Linked DNA regions of Xenopus tropicalis. The protein of the gene in region 2 interacts with the protein of the main gene of each other region in a biochemical or structural test. Links are inferred from orthologs where the notes say so. Each region holds a gene or a part of one and is shown on either strand. Other genes may lie near its edges. The genes, in order: mlh3 and msh4.

Region 1 (3,833 bases), on a different chromosome or scaffold from region 2:
AGTAACATTTCTCAGATATTTTCAGATATGTATTACTCAAAGTCTGGTCTTGACTAAAAAGGGGAATTATCATGCAAACAAATTATTTTCATAAGCTTCACAGAGCCGGGCCAAGGAGTACTGCCACCCTGGGCATTAAAAAAAACGAAACAAACAATTTGGGTTTAAGGTATTTCTGTTATTTCAAAAAGGGAGTAGAATTTTTAACTGAATATATTTAGAATTTTTTTTTTAATTAGAATTATATATTTTTGTATCATCTAGAAAAAAAGGCAATTTCTAGCATCTGCTGTTAAATGTTGGCAGTTTTGTCATTATTTGTGTTTCTGTAGGCTCCACAAACAAGTGCAGGGCTCACAGGGGCAAAACTAGGTAATTATAACTGCAATAACATTTAAATAAAGCATTGCCTTACAGGAAGCACAGACACCTTGTTGTAGTCAGCTAGGAGAGCTTTGCAATACATGGGTTCAGTAAAATGTTGTACAAGGCAACTTCTCCTTTATGAACAGAAAATTGTTCTTGTAAGGGCAAGACTGAACATGGGATAACAAGTGTAAAATGTATTTACTTATACAATACACAAGAACACAAGGGTTTACTTACCTCCACCTGTTCTTGTAGAAACTCCTGAAACACAGATAAGACAAATGAGACTTTCTGTGGTTGCTGCATTTGAGTGACTAAAAGACCACAGCCAGTTCAAAGAATATGTACAGATGTGGAAAAAGTCATACAATTTTAATACATAATACCTAGGTTTCCATGTTTGTTTAATAGATTGTAAGCTCTACAGGGCAGGGACCTCCATCCTCTTGTGTCTTTGGCTCTTAACTTATTGCAACTGTATCTTGTATTTATTTATTTGTATTTATTGTTATACTGTGTATTTATCAATCTTATTAAATCTTAATAACCCCGTTTGTATTAATGTATTCTACTGTACAGTGCTGCATACATAAGTAGCGCTTATAAATAAAGATATACAATCGAAATTTAATGGACAGCTAAATCAGGATTTTATCTGCAGGCATTATGTCAAGTTCCATAACTACACCGTTTACTAGGCCTGCTTATAAAATACAAAACTCAAATTAATAATTATATTTTTTCAGCAATAATACAATACCTGCACAAGGTTTTTAGCTACTGTTGACCTTCTACGATGTAATTCATTTGCTTCTCTCTCTACAAAACACACAGGGACTGCTGACACCAGGACACATGGACCTTGAGTATCAGGAAATGACAGAGACAAGCCAATACTTTGCGAACTCCTAGCAAGGACCCTATAAAAGAAAAGCATATATACATTATATATATATATATACATTATATATATATATATATATATATATACACACATTATATATATACACACATTATATATATATATATATATATATATATATATATATATATATATATATATAAAAACAAAATGAAATACTGGCACTCACGTATAATCCACAGCTTGGCCTGGGTGCAATCCTCAAAATTAGAATGAACACGAATTGGGAAAAGAAGCCGCACTCACAGTACTTAAGTCCTGTGAGTGCGGCTTCTTTTCCCAATTCGTATATATATATATATATATATATATATATATATATATATCAAAATAAAACAGCCAGCACCAAGGGTCTTTGTATTTCAAAAAATCTCGTGTATTATAATTGCATGTACAACCGACGTTTCGGTCCCTTTTGGGACCTTTTTCAAGGTCCCAAAAGGGACCGAAACGTCGGTTGTACGTGCAATTATAATACACAAGAGATTTTTTGAAATACAAAGACCCTTGGTGCTGGCTGTTTTATTTTGATATTTATGTGATATCCCGTGCACAGGGGCAGCTGCAGAGCAGCAGATTTTGGAGTGTGGTGCTGTCGTGTGGACTGTTTTATATATATATATATATATATATACAGTGGAGGAAATAATTATTTGACCCCTCACTGATTTTGTAAGTTTGTCCAATGACAAAGAAATGAAAAGTCTCAGAACAGTATCATTTCAATGGTAGGTTTATTTTAACAGTGGCAGATAGCACATCAAAAGGAAAATCAAAAAAATAACTTTAAATAAAAGATAGCAACTGATTTGCATTTCATTGAGTGAAATAAGTTTTTGAACCCCTACCAACCATTAAGAGTTCTGGCTCCCACAGAGTGGTTAGACACTTCTACTCAATTAGTCAACCTCATTAAGGACACCTGTCTTAACTAGTCACCTGTATAAAAGACACCTGTCCACAGAATCAATCAATCAAGCAGACTCCAAACTCTCCAACATGGGAAAGACCAAGAGCTGTCCAAGGATGTCAGAGACAAAATTGTAGACCTGCACAAGGCTGGAATGGGCTACAAAACCATTAGCAAGAAGCTGGGAGAGAAGGTGACAACTGTTGGTGCGATTGTTCGAAAATGGAAGGACCACAAAATGACCATCAATCGACCTCGCTCTGGGGCTCCACGCAAGATCTCACCTCGTGGGGTGTCAATGATTCTGAGAAAGGTGAAAAAGCATCCTAGAACTACACGGGAGGAGTTAGTTAATGACCTCAAATTAGCAGGGACCACAGTCACCAAGAAAACCATTGTAAACACATTACACCGCAATGGATTAAAATCCTGCAGGGCTCGCAAGGTCCCCCTGCTCAAGAAGGCACATGTGCAGGCCCATCTGAAGTTTGCCAATGAACACCTGAATGATTCTGTGAGTGACTGGGAGAAGGTGCTGTGGTCTGATGAGACCAAAATAGAGCTCTTTGGCATTAACTCAACTCGTTGTGTTTGGAGGAAGAAAAATGCTGCCTATGACCCCCAAAACACCGTCCCCACCGTCAAGCATGGGGGTGGAAACATTTTGCTTTGGGGGTGTTTTTCTGCTAAGGGCACAGGACAACTTATTCGCATTAACGGGAAAATGGACGGAGCCATGCATCGTGAAATCCTGAACGACAACCTCCTTCCCTCTGCCAGGAAACTGAAAATGGGTCGTGGATGGGTGTTCCAGCACGACAATGACCCAAAACATACAGCAAAGGCAACAAAGGAGTGGCTCAAGAAGAAGCACATTAAGGTCATGGAGTGGCCTAGTCAGTCTCCGGACCTTAATCCAATAGAAAACCTATGGAGGGAGCTCAAGCTCAGAGTTGCACAAAGACAGCCTCGAAACCTTAGGGATTTAGAGATGATCTGCAAAGAGGAGTGGACCAACATTCCTCCTAAAATGTGCGCAAACTTGGTCATCAATTACAAGAAACGTTTGACCTCTGTGCTTGCAAACAAGGGTTTTTCCACTAAGTATTAAGTCTTTTTTTGTTAGAGGGTTCAAAAACTTATTTCACTCAATGAAATGCAAATCAGTTGCTATCTTTTATTTAAAGTTATTTTTTCGATTTTCCTTTTGATGTGCTATCTGCCACTGTTAAAATAAACCTACCATTGAAATGATACTGTTCTGAGACTTTTCATTTCTTTGTCATTGGACAAACTTACAAAATCAGTGAGGGGTCAAATAATTATTTCCTCCACTGTATATATATATATATATATATATATATATATATCATGATGGTATGCTGAAATAAATCACTGACTTGATTGATGCTATAGCTGTGAGTGCTTTCTACTGTTGAGTTTGATGCATTATTTTTGTCAGCGCCCAGCCGTTGCCCCGATACTGGTGAGTGCCTATCGGGGCAAAGGCTGGGTGCTAACAAAAATAATGCATCAAACTCAACAGTAGAAAGCACTCACAGCTACAGCATCAATCAGGTCAGTGATTTATTTCAGCATACCATCTACGCGTTTCGATCACCACAGGATCGT
Region 2 (3,833 bases):
GCCGGTGCTTTGCCTTCAGCACTGGGGGGATCACTATACTAATAATTGTTTATTGTTGATTGAAGGTTGTGGGTTCCTACACTGGTATAATGGTAAATGTTGTGTATTACCTAAATCTGAAGTTCAAAGTTAGGATAGGATGGGACCTTCATAAGAAATCATCTCTTCAAATATTGTAGGTAAATAACATATTTTCAAATATTGTAGGTAATTACAAAACTTAAGATTCTGACACCTCTTGAAATATTGATGCCAAATACTGCTTGTGATAGTGGCACTGCAAGTAAATTGTTTCTTCTTATAGCGGAAAATTTCAAGGTAATTCTTATGTATTTTTTATTTTTTTACATCTTAAAAAATTATGAATGTATATTTGAGTATACCTGTTTGTACCTATTCCTTTCACTTTAAACTAAAACATATATTTTTTAGAAGCCCTACAGCAAGATATATTCCAAAGGTATAAATAACATTTTAGGATGGTGGTGGATAGTTGCGACAGGTGTAGCTAGGTCAACTGAAAAACGTAAACTGGGTATTCTACTGTAAATTCCTTATATTACAAGCAAGAAGCAAATTTGCTCCTGTAATGTTTTAGCTGTATTTGTTGAACAAAAATACTTTATCATAGTTCCTTTACCCTAGAGGCACATGTTAAGTCTTAAGTTTTTTCCTACACTTTACTAATGGAGCTACAGTTTTACCAACACATAGTACTGACTTGTATTATTTTAAAGTAGATAAAGTACACTTTATCACCCTACGTGTAATAGGATTACGTTTTTATTTTATATAAGTTCATAATAATGCTTACCTTTTACTGTCTGTGCTACTTAACATAATGTGCTGAATTGGCTCTGCCACATTTTTGGTTGTCCTCCCCTCTCCTAGAGTCCCGACGTACAAAATATATGTATATTTTTGGTGCAAACTACTAAGAAATGCCATTTTATTTCAGGGGTGTTCCCTTGCACTGGCAAAGCTATAGAGGAAGCAGACCACCGCTATCCCACCTGCGGCCAGGGAGAGGGGGAAGTAGGTGGGCAGGGATTTCCAGGGAGGGAACCATCAAGTTACACCACTGTTCCATTGACAAGGATTATTGGAGCCAATACATATTTTTTTATTCCAAACCTTTCCCTTCCTGGATCTTCCAATGTAATGTAAAACAATGGCATATCAATATCAATGGCATATGATAATCTAATGAAAGTCTTGGGGGTTTAGAGAGCTTTTTTTTTTTTTTATAAAATTTCTCTGGAGCACCCCGACCAGATATTGAAGTTTAATTAAGGGAAGAATTTTGTCAACTAAATGATGCCAAATCAAAGTAGTAGGAAGGAATGGACCAATCCAGTGTACAAAATAGTTTTACCAAAGTTTAACTTTGGGGTCCATCATCCTTTTCCAATTGAGATCAAAACCTCTGGCTTATAACTGGTAATTATTTAGAAGGACCAGAACAAATGAAAGAAGTCTTCCCCAGTCTCGTTACATGTCTTTTAGCTCTCCGTAGCTAGCCTGCCAATCTTAGCAAGTTTAACTGGTAATGCAATACATGCAACTGTGAGTCTATGTAATGCATAAACTAAGATGCCCTATAAATTAAGCCTCCCAAATTGTAAATGGAAAGCATGTTACAACTGAAAATAAGTTGTTTGGGAAAAGTTGCCTACAATTATGTTGCACATAAACAGAGCCATCTAGTGGCCTAAAATGTATCAACACTTGTTTAGCACAAAATAGTAATATTGATAAAAACACAGAAAAATAAGTAAATTTTCTGGCAGGTCATGTCAGTGGTCTACAAATTATGATATCTGTCTTGAGAAGAACTATATTACTAAAGCTCACATGGGGGGGCCGCATCAATAGTTAAAAAAATGCAAATTCAGCCCTACTTTAAACAGCTGGTTTCAGAAGCCAGAGCCAGACGTGCAGAGAACAGCCAAAACATTGCTTTCAGTAGTAAATACATTTACAACAACCACAATTATTTAATATATATTGTAAGGTAGCTTAAAATTAATTTTTTTTGTAAAAAGTAGCTCTTGATTGGAAGGTCCCTTTTAAAATTACCAGATACCCTGATAAAGTACAACCTGAGCCAAGTTTTTAATTTTGCCTCATTGTAAAAATGTCTCTTAGGCTAGAAATGCTAAACCATAAATTTTGGGATTGTGTAACCACCAAAGGTTACCACAGGAGTGGTACTGTCTGCCCTCTCCATCATCTTTTCTACTGATTCAAAGATCATGCCTTGAGCTGCTGTAAGTTACATGAGTTTAATTACTGACTTACAGTATATATACAGTTTAAAATGTAAAAACTACAAGGCTGGTTATTTCAGATTTACATTACATGAAATCATAGCAATCAGTGCATTCTGAAGCAGAACTGATGAATAATCAGCCCTATTGCATTAGCTTCTGTGACAGATGAAACCTCATCAGGAATCATTGGGTTTCTGATGATTTAAAGGAGAAGGAAAGGCTAGTAAAGAGTTAATCTCAAGCTGCAGGCATACCTCCAGTTGTCTCAATAGTGCACTTAAGTCTCCCCATATTTCACCTGTTCAGAAGATCTGAAGCCAAACAGGAAGAAAAAATGCTGAGCTGTGTAAAGAAAGTTCCCAAAATGCCTCACTCCTGCACAGACACCCAGACCAAACTTAACATGCTCAGTTATTTAGACTGAGTCAGCTTCCTGCTGATTGGCTCAGATCCACATTCCTAAGGGGGGGAGTAAGTTCTTTGCATTCTTGAGGGAGGGGGGAGCAGGAGAGAGAAGAAAGCTGCGTGTCTCTGGCACAGGAATTACAGACACAACTTATCTTTTTTCAGAGAAGTCAGTGCAGCGTTTCTGTGAGTGCTTATGGCTGTATTTACATAGACCTTTCTGATAAAGCTTACTTAGTTTTTACCTTTCTTTCTCCTTTAAAGGAGAACTATACCCTCGACCAATCTACTATAAAAATATACTGCATAGAACAGTTCATATGTAAAACCCTGCTTCACCTAATTAAAAAATATACCTTTTTAATAGTATGTGCCATTGGGTAATCCTAAATAGAAAATTCCCATTTTATGTACTAAGGGACACCCCCTGGGATCATACTATTCATAATGCACACAAACATACGAAGGGCACACACACATACATGTTAGGTCACATCAGCCAATTAAAGGGCAAAGTTATGTCTTTTACTCCCATGCTTCTTTCTGTTACAGTTAGGGATGAATTATTTCTGGTCAGGTGATCTCTAAAAGGAGCACACAGAGCATCACAAAATGTTGGCTCATGGTAAAAGATGTAAAAGGGCAATATTTACATATATATATATTCCCATTTGGTAAGATTCTTTAATAGGCCACTGAATATGATATAAACCATGTCGGTTAAGTATTCATTCTGGGCAGAGCTGTGGAGTCAGAAGCAATTTGGGTAGTTGGAGTCTCAAAAATGTACCAACTCCTAATATATTTAAAACTGTAATGAAAATGCATACAATATATTACTATGGTGGCTCAGTGAGAAGCACTTCTGCCATGCAGTGCTGGGGTCCTGAGTTCAATCCCAGCCAGGGCACTATCTGCGAGGTTTGTATGTTCTCCCTGTGTCTGTGTGGGTTTCCTCTGGGTACTTCAATTTCCTCTCACATTCCAAAAGCATACAGGCAGATTATTTACTTTAGTCGGGGATACCGACTATGTAAAATAGTAAAATGTACCTAATCCAGGATTCAGTTCGGGATTCGACCGAAAATTGGCCTTTTTCGGCAGAATTCGGATTTGGTCAAACCCCTGTTCCTGGCCGTACTGAATCTGAATCCT

Evidence for each region.
Region 1: the proteins of msh4 (region 2) and mlh3 form a complex in vitro, tested with the Homo sapiens proteins (2 studies listed by BioGRID). The link is inferred for Xenopus tropicalis from reciprocal best matches to the Homo sapiens genes MSH4 and MLH3.

What each region holds. Positions count from the first base shown.
Region 1 is NC_030684.2:82,223,483-82,227,315, forward strand, and holds part of mlh3 (DNA mismatch repair protein Mlh3), read right to left. Parts: intron 1,290-3,833; coding exon 1,130-1,289; intron 631-1,129; coding exon 607-630; intron 1-606. UniProt on the Homo sapiens protein: Probably involved in the repair of mismatches in DNA.
Region 2 is NC_030680.2:80,957,630-80,961,462, forward strand, and holds part of msh4 (mutS protein homolog 4), read left to right. Parts: intron 1-207; coding exon 208-318; intron 319-3,833. UniProt on the Homo sapiens protein: Involved in meiotic recombination. Required for reciprocal recombination and proper segregation of homologous chromosomes at meiosis.